Macaca mulatta: one gene and its partners. The protein of the gene in region 1 binds, or shares a complex with, the protein of each later gene. Links are inferred from orthologs where the notes say so. Each region holds a gene or a part of one and is shown in the gene's direction. Other genes may lie near its edges.

Region 1 (4,044 bases):
TTCTGGGCTCAAGTGATCCTCCTGCCCCAGCCTCCCAAGCAGCTAGGACTACCAGTGCATACCACCATATCCAGTTAGTTTTATTTTTTGCACAGATGGGGGTCTTGCTATGTTGCCTAAGCTGGTCTCAAACTCTTGGCCTCAAACTATCTTCCTGCCTCAGTTTTCCAGAGTACTTGGGTTATAAATGTGGGCCACTGCACCTGGCCCCCAATCTTGATGGGGAGCAGGTTTCTGCATGTGTGTCAACCCCAGCTCCTTGAGAGTGCGGCCTGAAGTCCTTGGTCCCGGAGGCTCAGCAGGAAATAGGACAGTGACTGCATAAGCTTGTGAGAACCTGTGGCCAGGCAGCAGCAGCCGTTTGGCCAGGGCTTGTCTCCTGCAGCCCTCCTGCCCAGTACCCGGGCCTGCTTGTATTCCCCTACACGTGCCCCCCATGCTCTCCCTCTTGTTGGTGAGTGTCACTCAAGCCTCTGCCTCAGAAAAGCCCTTCTGCAGCTTCCAAGTCAGACCAGCTCCTCCTCCAGGTGCAGGCCCAGTGATATCTGTCCCTCGCCCCTCGCCAGCTTGCACAGGTGAATGCTTTCTGCATCCTGAAGGCATTTCGTTTGTGTCTTTTAATCTGGCTGTGCTACTGTTGGTGTTTAACAGTCTCCCCAGCTACACTGGAAGCGACCAGAAGGCACTTTTCACTTGCTCGTGTGTTTTTCCCAGTGTCTATTAGAGGCCTTTGCACAGGGTAGGCGCCAAATGGCTGTTGGGAGCAGCTGAAGGTCACACATCCCATGAGCAGGCAGCAGGGTCAGAAGTGGCCCCCGTGTTGCCTGAGCGAGACGCTCCCCTGCCCTCTGCCCTCCGCGCCTCCGGCCTGCATGTCCCCGTGGCCTCTTAGGGGCACATCCCGGGGCTGGGTCAGGAGGTCTGGGCGGTTGGCCTTAAGCTGTCACACACCCAGGGAGATGCTGCTGTTTCTGGGAACCTTGGCCCCCACTCCTGCAAACTTCGGTAAATGTGTAACTCGACCCTGCACCGGCTCACTCTGTTCAGCAGTGAAACTGTGCATCGATCACTAAGACTTCCTGGAAGGGGTCCCAGCGTGAGTGTCCCTTCTGGCGTCTGTCTTTCTGGCCAGCCTGTGGTCTGGCCACATGATGTAACCCCCCTCCAGCCTGTGCACAGGCAGCCTGGGAACGGCTCCATCCCCACCCCTCAGATATAAATAGGGCCTCATGACGCGGCCAGGGGAAGAAGCTGCCATTGTTCTGGGTACTACAGCAGAAGGTAAGCCGGGGGCCCCCTCAGCTCCTTCTCAGCCTTGTCCCTCTCAGACGTAACTGAGCTGTGGGCCGGAGGGAAAAGGCCGGGAGGGGCACTGGTGATGGCTGAAGCATCTCTCCCCTCCCATAAGACCAGTCATCTGGACGCAGGCTTTCTCCGCTCAGTGCCCACCCAGGGGTCTCCCAGGAGGAGCTGCTCCTCCTTAGCAATAGGACCAGATGGTCAGGTCTTCCTGCTTCGGCTGAGAAGAGTTCGGGTCCTCAGGGATGGAGCAGACTGGCACAGGAGCAGAGTCATCATGGTCAAGAGTCCACCAGGTCCTCTTGCCATCAGGAGGAACAGCAGGGCTTGTACAGGAAGTGGGGCCACAGGGAAGGGCTGGGCCCGGTCAGTCCCCAGCTGGGATCCCCAGAGTGGTCACCCTACCCCTCCCTCGAGACAGATTCCCTGACTGTGTCATCAGGCTGGTCACCATCTCTCTGAACCTCGATTTGCTCACCTATAAAATGGGACTAGTAACGATGCCTGGGCTCCCTCTCTCAGGGGCTGTGGTGCAGCTGAAGAGAACTAATACAACATGAAAGTACTTTCTAAGCTTTGGGATAAGCTAAAAGGCAGATTCCAATTTCATTCAAGGGCAGCGTAGATTGGTGCTTAAACTTGTGGATGACAGAGTCAGAGGGCCTGGTTCTGAGTCCTAGTTCTGTCTCTTCCCAGCTGTGTGACTTTGCACAAGTCACTGGACCTCTTTGTTCCTCTGGAAAACAGCAGGAACCAATTCATTAACTACTTCTCCAGGATGCATTAGGTCCCGGGGACTGTCCTGGGAATGTGGGCTGTATTAGGAAACATAGCAGTGGGAACCCTGCTCCGGGGCTCACATTCACGTCAGGGCAAACAGACAAAGACGCTGGACAGCACAAGTGCGTAACTACATGGTACAGGGGTTATAAGGAGGGAAAAGGGGAGCCGGATGAGAGAGTTGAGAGTGCCCGGTGTGGTGGGGAAAGCTGCAGGGTGAAATACGGCACCAAGGAAACCTCAGGGAAGGTGAGGACTATGATGAGGTCAGAGGGGTTGATATAAGAACGATGCCCTGCAAATCACAGGCACCACGGGAGCGTGAGCCGTCATCTTCACCTGTAGCATTCAGCCTGGGGGAAGTAGGGAGACATAGAAGGGGCAGGTGCTGGCAAAGAGGCAGGGGCAGGAGGGGAGAAGGCGGAGGGGCGCTCCAGGCAAGGGTGTCAGGCCCGCCACCCCAGAGCACCATTACTCCCAGGACGCGGCTGGGTGCAGACCTGGAAACAGCCTAGGGAGCAGCTGCAGATCACAACTGAGAACAAACGACAGTCTCTGCCTTAAAAATGGCCCAAGGAATTGCGTCTCTGGAGATGGTACCTGCGCAGGAGCAGCACAGTGAGTGGGCTGCACCGACCAGCGCCATCCAAACCCCGAACAGGTGGCGCTTGTCAGGCAGGACTTCCCAGCAGTCGGTTCCCACAGGTTTCCCCTGACGACCTGATGTGATGTGACTGTCTAGATTAGGTGAGAACTGGTGGCTCAGGCTTCTCTGCACAGACAGGCCTGCAAGCAGCAGAGAGAGTTTTCTGTTCTGTTTTTCCATGTCGTGTGGCTCTTCCTGAGAACAGCGGATGGAGTCAACGCATGGGGAGTGGGGTGAGGCGGTAGCTGAGGTCAGAAGTCAAAGTCTCTTTGGCATTTGAATGACTGAAGCAGAACGAAACACACCAGGTACTTCAGCAGTTGCACCGTGTTGAGGGCAGGTGCTGGTTACCGGTCTGGGTGGGGGAAGCCAGCTGCTAATGTAAGAAGAATGACTGGGTGTGCTTAGGTGAAGCAGAAAAATCTAGGCATCAAGGTGGCCTCGAGTCAGTGATGACCTGCTACAGCTCCAAGGAAGCCTGGCGTAGCCCTGGGGGGACAGAAAAGGCTAAGCAGTGACGATATTGCAGTATACCCCCTCCACAAGAAATGAGTGAGATGTGGTACAAACTGTTAGAATTGAATGAATCAATAGAATCAACGTTCATCCCGTCAATCAGGAAGAGTCAGATGAAATGAATTAGCAGGGCCAGCCCAAGAACCTTGTCTTCTGGGGTCTCGGGGTAGTCTTCATTTGCAGCAGCTGAGGCTGAAGCCCAGTGGCAAGGCCTTTGAGAGAACATGGTGCCGGATCCGTGTCTAAGGCAGGGGTTCTAAACCCTGCTTACATATCAGAGCCACCTGAGAAATTTTTTTTTTTAATTTTTATTGTTTTAATCTAAGGAATCCAAGTATCAGTGGGCAAACCATGCTAGGTGTGCATGCCTTTGGGGCTCTGCAGGGGATAGCACTATGGAGGGATGGTTGAGAGCTGGTTTTGGGGTTGAGACACGTGGAAAATACTTGGGCTTTGGGTTGAGCCTGTGGTGCTCAATCCTGGCTGCATATTAGGACCACAAGGAGATGAGAAAACCATTCCCAACCCTCACCCTAGGGCCCTTGAATGAGCATCTCAGGGGTCTAGGAGGCCTCCGCAAAGACCTACTGATTGGCACGTATGTGTTTTTCTAGGAGAGAACTTATAGCCGCAGGCAGGAGCATGTCTTAGTGTGCTTGGGCTGCCATAAGTACCACAGACTGGGAGGCTTCAACAACAGAAATGTATTATCTCACAGTTCTGGAAGCTAGAAGCCCGGGAGCAAGCCATCAGCAGAGTTGGTTTCCTCTGGGGCCTCTATCCTTGCCTTGTAGATGGCTGTC
Region 2 (3,940 bases), about 44 Mb from region 1:
AGACCTTGCAGCTGCTGTGGGCATCTGCTGCCACCTAGTGGCCTCCCATGGCACTGTCTCCCCACCAGCCCCTAGTTTTGACAGGGGCACTCCCTGGCATTCATCTCTTCAGAGGGAATGTCTGTGCCTATTTCCCGTCTGTCCTCCTGCCAGCTGGAGTTCCTTAAAAGCAGTCATGATCGTTATCTTTCTAGCTCCAGTTTCCAGCACAGTGAGGCACAAAGTAGTTGTTCAGCAGGTGATTATGGAATAAATGAATGAACGGACCAATAAACAAACAGCCTTGTCTAATTAAAATTAGGCAACAGAAGGAAGTCACTTCAGGGTTATTTAATCCGCGGGCAGCTGACTCCTCTAAATTGACTCTTGACAAGAGGTAACTCTTATAAATGCTCCAGAGGCCTTCAGGGACAGAGGTGATTTCCAGGTGACTGGGCTAACATTAAAGGTGGTTGTACTAAAAGCAGGGATTTGGCCTCAGGGACTCTACCGTTATGGTGGGGGTACAGCACTTTTCTATTTTTGCTTCCTCCACCATGAGCCAGGATCTTCCTCAAGAGGATGCCCTCAATCCGAGAAAGCCTGAAGGAACGAGGTGTGGACATGGCCAGACTTGGTCCCGAGTGGAGCCAGCCCATGAAGAGGCTGGCCCTTGGCAACACCACCTCCTCCGTGATCCTCACCAACTACATGGATGTGAGTGCCTGGCCCAGCCCCTCGCTCCCTCCCTCCCTGTCTCCTTTCCCCCACGGACCTAGGGCTTTCTTTGCCACAAGACTCTCCCTTCCTATGCTGTGTTTGACGAAGGCGCTGAGGAACATTCCCATTTTCTGGTTGGAAAGCCTGAGCACAGAAGACAGGAAAGCACTCAGGGGCCATTCAGGGGCAGGGTTAGGTTTGGAACTCAGCCCAGGCCTTAAGCCAGGTGTCACAGGTGGGTGGGAAGGGGTGTGTGACTCAGGTGGGGGTTTCTGTGACCTGGTCCAGCACAGTCTGACGGCTTCCTGCCCCAGTAGATTCTCAAGGGTCAAGTTCGCATCCTGCTTCATTCTCAATGTTTTGATTTCGCCATTTTGTCTTACTGAGATTCCCACTTTCTGGGATGCCATGGGGCGATGCTAAGCCTCCTACCAGTTCCTGCAGGACAGCAGAAACCCCGAGAGGCTATAGGACCTCACCTGGGCGAAATCTTACCCTGACAGCCAAGAGTGAAGCCAGACAAGACCCCAAGACCCTGAGCCCCTCCAGCCCTCTCTTTTTACCCCCACAGACCCAGTACTATGGCGAGATTGGCATCGGCACCCCACCCCAGACCTTCAAAGTCGTCTTTGACACTGGTTCGTCCAACGTTTGGGTGCCCTCCTCCAAGTGCAGCCGTCTCTACACTGCCTGTGGTGAGATCTAAGACCCACAGTGCCTCTCCCCAATCCCCCTGCCCTACTGTGCATGAGCAATCCTGCCCCACACCTAGCTCCCATCCCTCTTGCCACCAAGAGAGTGCCTTCCTCTCTGCCTCTGTACCCACTGACCCTGACACTTAAGGGAGAGAGGAAGATGTCTCCCATTTTTCTGATATAGCCACCAAGGTTTTTTAAAAAAAAAAAAAAAGAAAGCTCCAAGAATCCCTGACCACCCAGAAGGCTACTTCCCAGTCTTCCTGAGATTGAGACAGGACTGAATTCTCAAACCCATCCCAGGCACTCGGAACTCTTCCATCCCTAGTCTTAATCAACAACCTCTTACTGGGCACTTACTCTGTGCCCAGCATCTTCTCTGGTGTTATCAGTGTTAGTGATTACTTTACATTCCTTCATTTAGGACAAAATTATCGAGGTATGGGCACATTAGGGGGGCCCAAGAAACCCAGTCCTTGATTGATGAAGCACATATTCCAAGCCTCCTGACCCTAGAGTCACTCGTCCCTGTACCTAAGCTAAGTCCTAAGCCACACCAGCCATACCCACAATGCACCCTGCCTCTGAGTCCCCCTGTCTGGGCCACTCTTGGACAAACCTAAGCCTCTGTCCCCCTGCCAGTGTATCACAAGCTCTTCGATGCTTCGGATTCCTCCAGCTACAAGCACAATGGAACGGAACTCACCCTCCGCTATTCAACAGGGACAGTCAGTGGCTTTCTGAGCCAGGACATCATCACCGTAAGTGGGGTTGCCCTAGGTCATCTGCTCCCAACCCCTTCTGTCCCCAGGCCTCTCCTGACCCTCCAGGGGCCATACCTGCGGGGAGGTGCACTGTAGCCCACTTGGAGCCTGGGGAGCTGAGGAGCACCCTGCTCTGCCACATCTGGCTGTTGCTGCAAAGCAGCAGTACCTATGGGGGAGCAAGCTTGGGCTACGGGCTTAACTGTTGGGTGGTTTATGGACGTTTTTGCATCTGACTTGCACGTAGGGTTGTCGTGAGCCCCATGGCTGCAGTCAAGTAACTTGCCCAAGTTCACCAGCTCTGACTGGGCTACACCCTAGACTAAAATCCAGGGTCAGGGTCAGGCTGAGTTTTAGGGTCAGGCATAGGTTTTAAGGTCACAGTTGAGGTTGACTCTGGGATTCAGGTCAAGTCCTGCTTTTTTTTTTATTTGGCCCGTGTCTGACCCTTTCCTCATTCTGGAGTTTCTCAGGCCCTGCTCCATCAGAGTTAGGGGGGGGGCACACATGGGGCCTGACAGAAAATCAGGGTGATTCCTGCCTCCCTCCCTTTTTCTGTGAACTCAGATATAAAGAAGGGAGAAGGGCAAGGTTGGCTGTGCTGAAGAAACCCTCGCCCATGATAAGCGTGGGGGCCAAGACCTAGTCCTGCCGGGCACGAAAGGCGGGCCACTGGGGAGGGGGAGGCGCTCTTGGCAGCTTTCCTTTTGCTGCTTGGCAGGACCACCCTCTCAGCCTCTGCTGTCCAATCCCTGGTCAACTCCAGCTCTCTCTCGGCTCTGTGGCACAGACGTATTGGCATACACATTGGCGTACACAGAGTGTGTGCATGCAGAGTTGAGGAAACACTCTTACCCCAAATTCTGTACCCTGAAGCCTGTGTGGCCCTGGGATCCCTAGTGTGGAAGCCCAGACCAGACTCCAGCCAAGGAGCAGGCAGTGGGCTTGGTCTCCTCTGGTCCTTCCTCCCACAGGTGGGTGGAATCACAGTGACACAGATGTTTGGAGAGGTCACGGAGATGCCTGCCTTACCCTTCATGCTGGCCGAGTTTGATGGGGTTGTGGGCATGGGCTTCATTGAACAGGCCATTGGCAGGGTCACCCCTATCTTCGACAACATCCTCTCCCAAGGGGTGCTAAAAGAGGACGTCTTCTCTTTCTACTACAACAGGTGGGGACTGGGACTCCAGGGGCTGAGGTGGGGGGAGAGGAGGGGAGAAGAGCTGGGGAGTGGAAGGAGAGCCTGGGCCAGAATTGTTAAGCGTTTGTGATTAGATGACCGTCAATCAATATCTAGAGCTGTACTAGCCAATGTGGAAGGCACCATTGAAATTTAAATTAATTCAATACAGTTAAGCATCAATTAAGCATTCAACTGGTGGCTCTTAGTTGCACTAGCCACGTGTCAAATGTCTGGCAGCCGCGGTGGCTAGTAACTACGGTTTTGGACAGTGCAGATAGAGAACATTCCCAGCTTGGCAGGACATTCTAATAGACAGTACCACTCTGGAGCAAGAGGAGATGCAAGGTGGGGATGATGGGAAATAAGGGATTACTGTGACCTGGAGCCCTGCCTGTGAGGGCCATGGCTCCTCCCACACAGAGACAGCCAACTTCAGTCATCCATTAGATCCTTCATTTGTTTGCCCACTCATCAGTTCAGTAAATGCTATGTGCCAAGCACTGTGCGAGGCTCTGGGGGTGCAGCAGTGAACACAGTGAACAAGGCAGAATCTGTACTCCCCTACCCACATAGAGCTTACAGGCTAACAGGGAAGACAA
Region 3 (3,940 bases), on another chromosome or scaffold:
AGTCACAGTTGAGCTGGACATGATGGCTCATACCTGTAATCCCAGCTATTCAGGAGGCTGAGCCAGGAGGATCGCTTGAGCCCAGCAGTCTGAGATCAGCTGGGCAACCTTGCAAGATCCTATCTCAAATTAAAAAAAAAAAAAAAGGTGTAAGACAGGAAATATTGTGGCTGTTTTTGCTCGTTTGTTTGTTTTTACATAGCCTTGAAGTATATTTTATTGATCAGAGACAACAAGGAAAATACAATAGTGTGTAAACATCCCATTGCTTCTGTAACAAATTGCCACAAATTTAGTGGCACAAAACAACATGAACTTATTACAGTTGCAGGGGTCCAGAGTCTAAAAGCAAGGCTGGGCCGCATTCATTTTGGAGTCTCAGGAGGAACCTGCCCCCACTTGCCTTTTCCAGCTTCTGGAAGGCTGCCCAGCCCCCCCAACTTCACTCCAGCTCCCTTCTGCTATCGTCACAGCTCCTTTTCCCAGCCACCCTCTTGTCTCCCCGTGGGACTGTTGATTACGTTTGGGATGTGACTGTCTTTTTAAATCCAATCTGCTACTTGCTGTCCACGTAAGCTCTCGATGCCTTAGTTTCCCATCAGTGAAATGGAGATGATAATTTCTGCCTCCCCCCAGAGTTAGAGTGAGGCTTAAAGGAGTTAACACATGGAAAGCACATGTTATGTGATACATATATTTTTGTTTTTTAGTTTTTGGGTTTTTTTGTTTTCATTTTTGTGTTTGTTTTTTTGGGCTGGAGTCTCTCTCTGTTGCCCAGGCTGGAGTGCAGCAGCGCGATCTCAGCTCACTGCAACCTGTGTCTCCTGGCTTCAAGCGATTTTCCTGCTTCAGCCTCTTGAGTAGCTGGGATTACAGGTGCCTGCCACCACGCCCAGCTAATTTTGTATTTTGAGTAGAGACGGGATTTCACCATGTTGGCCAGACTGGTCATGAACTCCAGACCTCAGGCGATCTGCCCGCCTCGGCCTCCCAAAGTGCTGGGATTACAGGTGTGAGCCACCGTGCCCGGCTGATATATATATTTTGGAAGACGAGAGTTTATACTCATGTCTGTTGGCTACAGGGAGCCATTGAAGATCTTAGAGTGAAAGAGTGCTACGGGGAAAAGCTGACGGAGGTGTCTTACTCCGGCCTTTTCTCTGAGTGACACCTTCTTTCCCCAGAGCCTTCCCTGGACTCTGAGATGACTTCCAAGCTGAAGAGCTATGAATTCCGGGGAAGCCCTTTCCAGGTGACCCGAGGGGACTATGCGCCCATCCTCCAGAAGGTGGTGGAGCAGCTGGAGAAAGCCAAGGTTGGACTGGCTGGGGACTGAGGTGTGCGGGCTGAGGACCCCTCTGGGCAGCAAAGCTGGTGTGGAGGTGGGTTGACCTCACACAAGGCTGACCGACTCCTGCTCACCTCAGGTGTATGCAGCCAACAGCCACCAGGGGCAGATGCTGGCCCAGTATATAGAGAGCTTCACCCAGGGCTCCATCGAGGCCCACAAGAGGGGCTCCCGCTTCTGGATCCAGGACAAAGGCCCCATCGTGGAGAGGTGAGCCGCCAGCTCCACCCCACCCGCCCCCTCCTGCCCGCCCCTCCTCCACCTCTGCCCTTCTCTCCCCCAGTTACATCGGGTTCATCGAGAGCTACCGTGACCCCTTTGGTTCCCGAGGAGAATTTGAAGGTAACTTCCTCGGGGAGGAGGAGGTCAGTCACAGTCCCTTCCCCCACATCCAAGTCCACGTGTCCAGTGTCCCCTGATGGTTCTCCCCACCCCCACTCAGCCATAACCATAACAATAACAACAGCCATCGTAAATAAACACCATTTACAGTGTATTGGGCACTGTTGTAAGAAGCTTAGCTATATTAACTAATTTAGAGTTCACCCCATGAGGATGTTTATCCTCACTTAGCAGGTGTGAGCACTGAGGCACAGTTGGGGGGTGACCCAGAAACTCTGGCTCTGAGCTACTTTGCTGTGCTGCCTCTGGTGTCTGGTCAGGGCACAGGCTCCAGGTAGACATGTGCCTCCCAAGCCTAGCTTCACCACTTCCAGGCTGTGTGACCTTGGGCCAAATAGCCTGACCTCAGCACCAGTGCGGTTAGGATGCAGACTGCTACACTCAGTGGCTGGAAGCAGGATGGACATTGTGACTGGACCTGACCTGGGGCTGTCATCCCAGGCTGGTGGCAGGCTGCCTCGGCCCCCACCCCCTTCCCCAGGGGACCCACCTGTGGAAGGCAGGGCATCCAGCCTGAGGATTCAGCCACTTCTCTGGCTGCCCTAATCCTCCCCAGCCGCTGGATGTAGAAGAGTCTGAGCATCTGCCTGTTAAAGCCGGAGAGATTAGTCTGGGAGGAGAGCACACAGCCTGTTGGGGCTCAGGGGTGAGCCGCTAGACCCAGGCCCAGGGAGAAGGGGCAGGCGGCCCAGGGGCCTGAGGGGAAGACAGGTTTGTGCAGCTGCAGCTTTCCTGTCCAGGTCCTGACCTAGTAGGGCCCAGACCTGGGTCACTGCTGTCCCCAGCTGCCAGCCCAGGGTGACTGCATACAGTAGGCATTCAGTACATGCGTGATGGCTGGAGTAGGGTGAAGTGAGAGCCCTCCTGGAACCCTGCCAAGCCACAGCTCCCTCCCTCCCCTGCAGGTTTCGTAGCTGTGGTGAACAAGGCCATGAGTGCCAAGTTTGAGCGGCTAGTGGCGAGCGCAGAGCAGCTGCTGAAGGAGCTGCCCTGGCCCCCAGCCTTTGAGAAGGACAAGTTCCTCACCCCCGACTTCACCTCCCTGGATGTTCTCACCTTTGCTGGCTCCGGCATCCCTGCTGGCATCAACATCCCCAATTGTAAGTGTTGGCAGGCCCAGCCCCCGAGCCCCAGAAGCCTCCTTTTAGAGTCGCCCCTCCCTCTCCACACACACACTCTCCACAAACTGCCCTGTGCCTCTTGTCTGTGACCTTTGACCCTTGCCTCTTCTTCCTGGTCCTCCTCCGCCTTCTCCAGACGATGACCTGAGGCAGACGGAAGGCTTTAAGAACGTGTCACTGGGGAATGTGCTGGCTGTGGCCTACGCCACGCAGCGGGAGAAGCTCACCTTTCTGGAGGAGGATGACAAGGTGGGTGCCAGCAGTTGGAGGGTTGGGGCTGGGCCTCACCTTCCTCAGCGGACTCGGGAAGGCAGACAGCCCAGAGCAGTAGAGAGGAAAGCACACAGCTTCCATCCTGGCTCTGCCACTTCCCAACCACATGACCGTGCGGACTTTGGAGCCTCGGTTTCTTCTCGGGTCACACTAGGGGGGCATCCCTCCCTTCCTCCTGGGTTGTTGCAAGGATGAGATGGGCTGTGGGGTGGAGCACAGTCGGCCTTTACCAAGTACATGCACTGAGATGGGCCCATGGCCCGGGGGAGGGGAGGCCGACAGGCTCTGTGGCCAGGGCCGGCCAGTGGACAGCGCAGGTCTCTGCTTGTCTTGGCAGGATCTGTACATCCTCTGGAAGGGGCCCTCCTTCGATGTGCAGGTGGGCCTGCACGAGCTGCTGGGCCATGGCAGCGGCAAGCTCTTCGTACAGGTAAGAAGGCAGCGGCCAGCCCTGGTACCCCAGCCCACAGCTCCACTCCCCACAACCTGCCCTACCCAGTGGTGAAGCTGCTCTAGCCTCTGCCCTCAGGGGCTGTGGGTTGGGTGGGGAAAACGGCCCCTTAAGCAGAGAAGACCCTGTCTTGCCCTTCCTCAAGATGTCCCAGGAGCTCAGAGGCCTGGTGTAGAGCCGGGGTGTAGAGGGCCCTCTGGGACAGTTCAGCTGCTGTTCCCCACACCAGGAGGAATTGCTTGGCTCAGGCTAAGGAAGCACACCCTAAGGGCGTGGCTCCAGCAGCCCCAGGACAGACACTGGGGGTAGGGGGCATCTCTGGGTGCTCCCATCTGAGGCAGCAGT
Region 4 (3,940 bases), on another chromosome or scaffold:
TTTTTGAGACTGCAAAATGCTTACGTTTAGACACTCATTCAACAGAATTGATGTATTTTCCCCAACTTATTTTTCAAAAATGATGAGTTTTGATTCTTTTTTTTTTTTTTTTGAGGCGGAGTCTCACCCTGTCGCCAGGCTGGGGTTCAGTGGTGCAATCTCAGCTCACTGCAAACTCTGCCTCCTGGGTTCAAGTGATACTCCACCCTTAGCCTCCTGGGAATACAGGAGCATGCGACCGCGCCTAGCTAATTTTTTGTATTTTTAGTAGAGACGGGATTTCACCATGTTGGCCATGGTGGTCTCGATCACTTGACCTCGTGATCTGCCCGCCTCAGCCTCCCAAAGTGCTGGGATTACAGGTGTGAGCCACCACACCCGGCCTTGATTCATTTTAATAGCCATTTCACCTTTACTCTGTTACTTTATATTCTATTATAAAATCTTTCAAGATGAAAGGCCTGAAGCCACAAAAAACATTTATCATTAAAAACTGGAAATCATAGCATACATCCTATTGATCCAGTTGATTTTCAAAAGTTGTGCTCTTTATGAAATTAGCAGTAGCTGACTCAGCATCTGGCCCTCTTAGGTACCTGAGCTACACCCTGAACCCCGACTTAATCCGGAAGCAGGATGCCACCTCTACCATCATCAGCATTACCAACAATGTCATCGGACAAAGTTTGGTCTGGGACTTTGTCCAGAGCAATTGGAAGAAGCTCTTTAATGAGTGAGTCTGTGGAGTGGGTGTCAGGCACAGCGAGCGCTGAGGCTGGGGCCCCAAGGGGTGGTCTGTGCACGTAAGACACGCCGGGGGCACTGCCCAGGAGTGGACAAAAATCAGCCAAGCGTGGGGGCAGGAATGGAAAGACAAGCTGGGGTACGGGCCGTCCCTTTTCCCATTTGGAAGGAAAAAGAGAGGGGAGTGAGGAACTCGGCAGTCAGAGCTGTGTTCAAGCTGTGACTCCCCCATGTCCTAGTGGGGTCTTCCAGGGCATATCATTTCATCTCCTCTATAATCATGGCTCCCTCTCCAGTAGGTGTGAGGATGAGCCTCCTTAGTTCCCGGCCTCCCTCACAGTTCACCTCTCTCCCTCCTTGCAGTTATGGTGGTGGCTCGTTCTCCTTCTCCAACCTCATCCAGGCAGTGACACGACGATTCTCCACCGAGTATGAGCTGCAGCAGGTAAGAAGTCATTCCCCAGCCCTGGGCTCTGCCTACTTCCTTCGCAGGCCAAAGGGCACTGCATTCTTCCCCGACTGTGGCCCTGAGGGAGCACAGGCTCCACGCCGCCAGGCCTTCCTCATTTACAGAGGAAGCCGAGTAGCCAGACTTTGGAAGTGTTGATAATTCAATTTAAAAAAAATTCATCTTGGGATTTTCGTATAGGCACAAAAGGAAAGAGTGGTATAAGGAACCTCCGTGTACCCATTACCCAGGTTCAACAATTATCAACATTTTGCCAGTACTCTTTCTGGGTGGGCAATTTTAAAGCAAATCACTGACACTATATAATTTTACTTCTAAATAATTTAGTCTTATGAAAAATAAAGGCATTCTTTTTTTTTTTTTTTTTTTTTTTGAGACTGAGTCTCACTCTGTCATGCAGGCTGGAGTGGTGCAGTGGTGCGATCTCTGCTCACTGCAACCTCCGCCTCCGAGGTTCAATTAATTCTCCTGCCTCAGCTTCCCGAGTAGCTGGGATTACAAGCATGCGCCACCACATCTGGCTATTTTTTGTATTTTCAGTAGAGACGGGGTTTCACCATGTTGGCCAGGCTGGTCTTGAACTCCTGACCTCAAGTGATCCACCCACCTCAGCCTCCCAGAGTGCTGAGATTACAGGCATGAGCCACTGCACCCAGCAATAAAGGCATTCTTAAAACATAATCACACTGTCCTTAGCAAACCCAGGAAAATAACTATCTTCTTACTATCATCTTATACCCAAGCCATATTCAATTTTCTGAGTTGTTTATAAAAGGTCTTTTTACAATTGATATATATGTTTGAATTAGAAGCTTGACAAACTCAACTTGGATTTAGTTTGTCTTTTTTAAAAATTGAGATGTAATTCACTGGGCATGGTGGCTCACGCCTGTAGTCCCAGCACTTTGGGAGGCTAAGGTGGGTGGATCATCTGAGGTCAGGAGTTCCAGACCAGCTTGGCCAACATGGTGAAACCCCGTCTGTACTAAAAATACAAAAATGAGCTGGGTGTGGTGGGGGAGTCCCTGTAGTCCCAGCTACTTGGGAGGCTATGGCAGAAGAATTGCCTGAACCCAGGAGGCAGAGGTTGCAGTGAACCAAGATTGAGCCACTGCACTCCAACCTCAGTGACAGAGTGAGACGCTGTCTCAAAAAAAAAAAAAAATTGATATATAATTAATGAACCATCAAACTCACCATTTTAAGTGGTTTTCAGTGTACTAACAAGGTGGGGTGGGTGGGGTGCTTCATGACTGTAATCCCAGCACTTTGGGAGACCAGTGCAGGAGGATCCCTTGAACCCAGGAGTTTGAGACCAGCCTGGGCAATCTCGTAAGACCTCATCTCTAAATAAATAAATAAATAAATAAATAAATAAATACAAAAGTTAGCTGGGCATGGTGGTGCATACCTGCAGTCCTAGCTACTCGGGAGACTGAGGTGAGAGGATCGCTTGAAGCAGGAAGGCAGAGGTTGCAGTGAGCCGAGATGGTGCCACTGCATTCCAGCCTGGGCGACAGAGCAAGACCCTGTCTCAAAAAACCAAAACCAACCAACCAAACAAACAAACAAAAAAATACGTGGTACAACCATCACTACTGTCTAATTCCAGAACATTTTCATTACACCAAAAAGAAACCTCATACTCATTAGCAGTCACTCCTCATTCCTACCTGGTCCCCTCAGCCCCTGGCAACCACTAATATACTTTCTGTCTCTATGGATTTATTACCTATTCTGGATGTTTCATAAAATGGAATCATAGATACATGACCTTTTTGTGTCTGTCTGCCTTCTTTCACTTAGTATAATGTTTTCCTTTTTTTTTTTTTTTTTTTTTTTGAGACGGAGTCTCGCTCTGTCGCCCAGGCTGGAGTGCAGTGGCCGGATCTCAGCTCACTGCAAGCTCTGCCTCCCGGGTTTACGCCATTCTCCTGCCTCAGCCTCCCGAGTAGCTGGGACTACAGGCACCCGCCACCACGTCACCCAGCTAGTTTTTTGTATTTTTTAGTAGAGACAGGGTTTCACCGTGTTAGCCAGGATGGTCTTGATCTCCTGACCTCGTGATCCGCCCGTCTCGGCCTCCCAAAGTGCTGGGATTACAGGCTTGAGCCACCGTGCCCGGCCAGTATAATGTTTTCAAGATTCATGCATATGGTAGCAGGGATCATTCCTTTTTATGACTGAATAATGTTCCATTGCATGGATGTACCATATTTTGTTTTCAGCTCATCATTGATGGTCATTTGGGTTGTTTCAGTCTTCTGGCTATTATGAATATCATGGACCTTCACATGCAAATTTTGTACAAACATGTTTTAATTTATCTTTTTTTTTTTTTTTTTTTTTTGAGACGGAGTCTTGCTCTGTCATCCAGGCTGGAGTGCAGTGGCCGGATCTCAGCTCACTGCAAGCTCCGCCTCCCGGGTTCACGCCATTCTCTTGCCTCAGCCTCCTGAGTAGCTGGGACTACAGGCGCCTGCCACCTCGCCCGGCTAAGTTTTTGTATTTTTAGTAGAGACGGGGTTTCACTGTGTTACCCAGGATGGTCTCGATCTCCTGACCTCGTGATCCGCCCGTCTCGGCCTCCCAAAGTGCTGGGATTACAGGCTTGAGCCACCGCGCCCGGCAATTTATCTTGGGTATACACCTCGGAGAAGAATTGCTGGGTCATTTGGTTACTCTGTGTTTAAACTTTTTGAGAAACTGACAAAATGTTTTCCAAAG

The links.
Region 2: the proteins of AGT (region 1) and REN are in contact, whole or in part, in a crystal structure (PDB 6I3F), measured with the Homo sapiens proteins. The link is inferred for Macaca mulatta from reciprocal best matches to the Homo sapiens genes AGT and REN. Residues at the interface, in NP_001369746.2 of Homo sapiens: Asp25, Tyr28, Ile29, His30, Pro31, Phe32, His33, Leu34, Val35, Ile36, His37, Asn38, Glu39, Lys91, Leu92, Ala95, Met96, Met99, Leu100, Phe103, Arg107, Arg148, Ala151, Ile152, Gly154, Gln353, Gln354, Asn355, Asn358, Glu391; in NP_000528.1 of Homo sapiens: Tyr81, Met82, Thr84, Gln85, Val102, Asp104, Gly106, Ser107, Asn109, Ser118, Arg119, Leu120, Tyr121, Thr122, Val125, Tyr126, Leu147, Arg148, Tyr149, Ser150, Pro181, Ala182, Leu183, Pro184, Met186, Leu187, Ala188, Glu189, Phe190, Val193.
Region 3: the proteins of AGT (region 1) and DPP3 are in contact, whole or in part, in a crystal structure (PDB 5E2Q), measured with the Homo sapiens proteins. The link is inferred for Macaca mulatta from reciprocal best matches to the Homo sapiens genes AGT and DPP3. Residues at the interface, in NP_001369746.2 of Homo sapiens: Asp25, Arg26, Val27, Tyr28, Ile29, His30, Pro31, Phe32; in NP_005691.2 of Homo sapiens: Phe109, Glu316, Tyr318, Glu329, Phe381, Gly385, Ile386, Pro387, Ala388, Gly389, Ile390, Asn391, Ile392, Asn394, Arg399, Val412, Leu413, Val415, Ala416, Phe443, Val447, His450, His455, Glu507, Glu508, Asn545, Arg548, Leu552, Glu555, Phe556.
Region 4: the proteins of AGT (region 1) and ANPEP are in contact, whole or in part, in a crystal structure (PDB 4FYS), measured with the Homo sapiens proteins. The link is inferred for Macaca mulatta from reciprocal best matches to the Homo sapiens genes AGT and ANPEP. Residues at the interface, in NP_001369746.2 of Homo sapiens: Val27, Tyr28, Ile29, His30, Pro31, Phe32; in NP_001141.2 of Homo sapiens: Gln211, Gln213, Ala351, Gly352, Ala353, Met354, Glu355, Arg381, Val385, His388, Glu389, His392, Glu411, Glu418, Asn438, Arg442, Phe472, Tyr477, Ile864, Phe896, Ser897, Asn900, Gln903, Ala904, Arg907.

Annotation. Positions count from the first base shown.
Region 1 is NC_133406.1:18,331,545-18,335,588, forward strand, and holds the start of AGT (angiotensinogen), read left to right. Parts: upstream 1-1,244; 5' UTR 1,245-1,281; intron 1,282-4,044. UniProt on the Homo sapiens protein: Essential component of the renin-angiotensin system (RAS), a potent regulator of blood pressure, body fluid and electrolyte homeostasis.
Region 2 is NC_133406.1:61,903,720-61,907,659, reverse strand, and holds part of REN (renin), read left to right. Parts: intron 1-545; coding exon 546-734; intron 735-1,239; coding exon 1,240-1,394; intron 1,395-2,036; coding exon 2,037-2,155; intron 2,156-3,132; coding exon 3,133-3,329; intron 3,330-3,940. UniProt on the Homo sapiens protein: Renin is a highly specific endopeptidase, whose only known function is to generate angiotensin I from angiotensinogen in the plasma, initiating a cascade of reactions that produce an elevation of blood pressure and increased sodium retention by the kidney.
Region 3 is NC_133419.1:7,923,630-7,927,569, reverse strand, and holds part of DPP3 (dipeptidyl peptidase 3), read left to right. Parts: intron 1-1,184; coding exon 1,185-1,315; intron 1,316-1,427; coding exon 1,428-1,558; intron 1,559-1,631; coding exon 1,632-1,749; intron 1,750-2,609; coding exon 2,610-2,850; intron 2,851-3,007; coding exon 3,008-3,120; intron 3,121-3,481; coding exon 3,482-3,574; intron 3,575-3,940. UniProt on the Homo sapiens protein: Cleaves and degrades bioactive peptides, including angiotensin, Leu-enkephalin and Met-enkephalin. Also cleaves Arg-Arg-beta-naphthylamide (in vitro).
Region 4 is NC_133412.1:79,602,117-79,606,056, reverse strand, and holds part of ANPEP (aminopeptidase N), read left to right. Parts: intron 1-592; coding exon 593-733; intron 734-1,107; coding exon 1,108-1,189; intron 1,190-3,940. UniProt on the Homo sapiens protein: Broad specificity aminopeptidase which plays a role in the final digestion of peptides generated from hydrolysis of proteins by gastric and pancreatic proteases.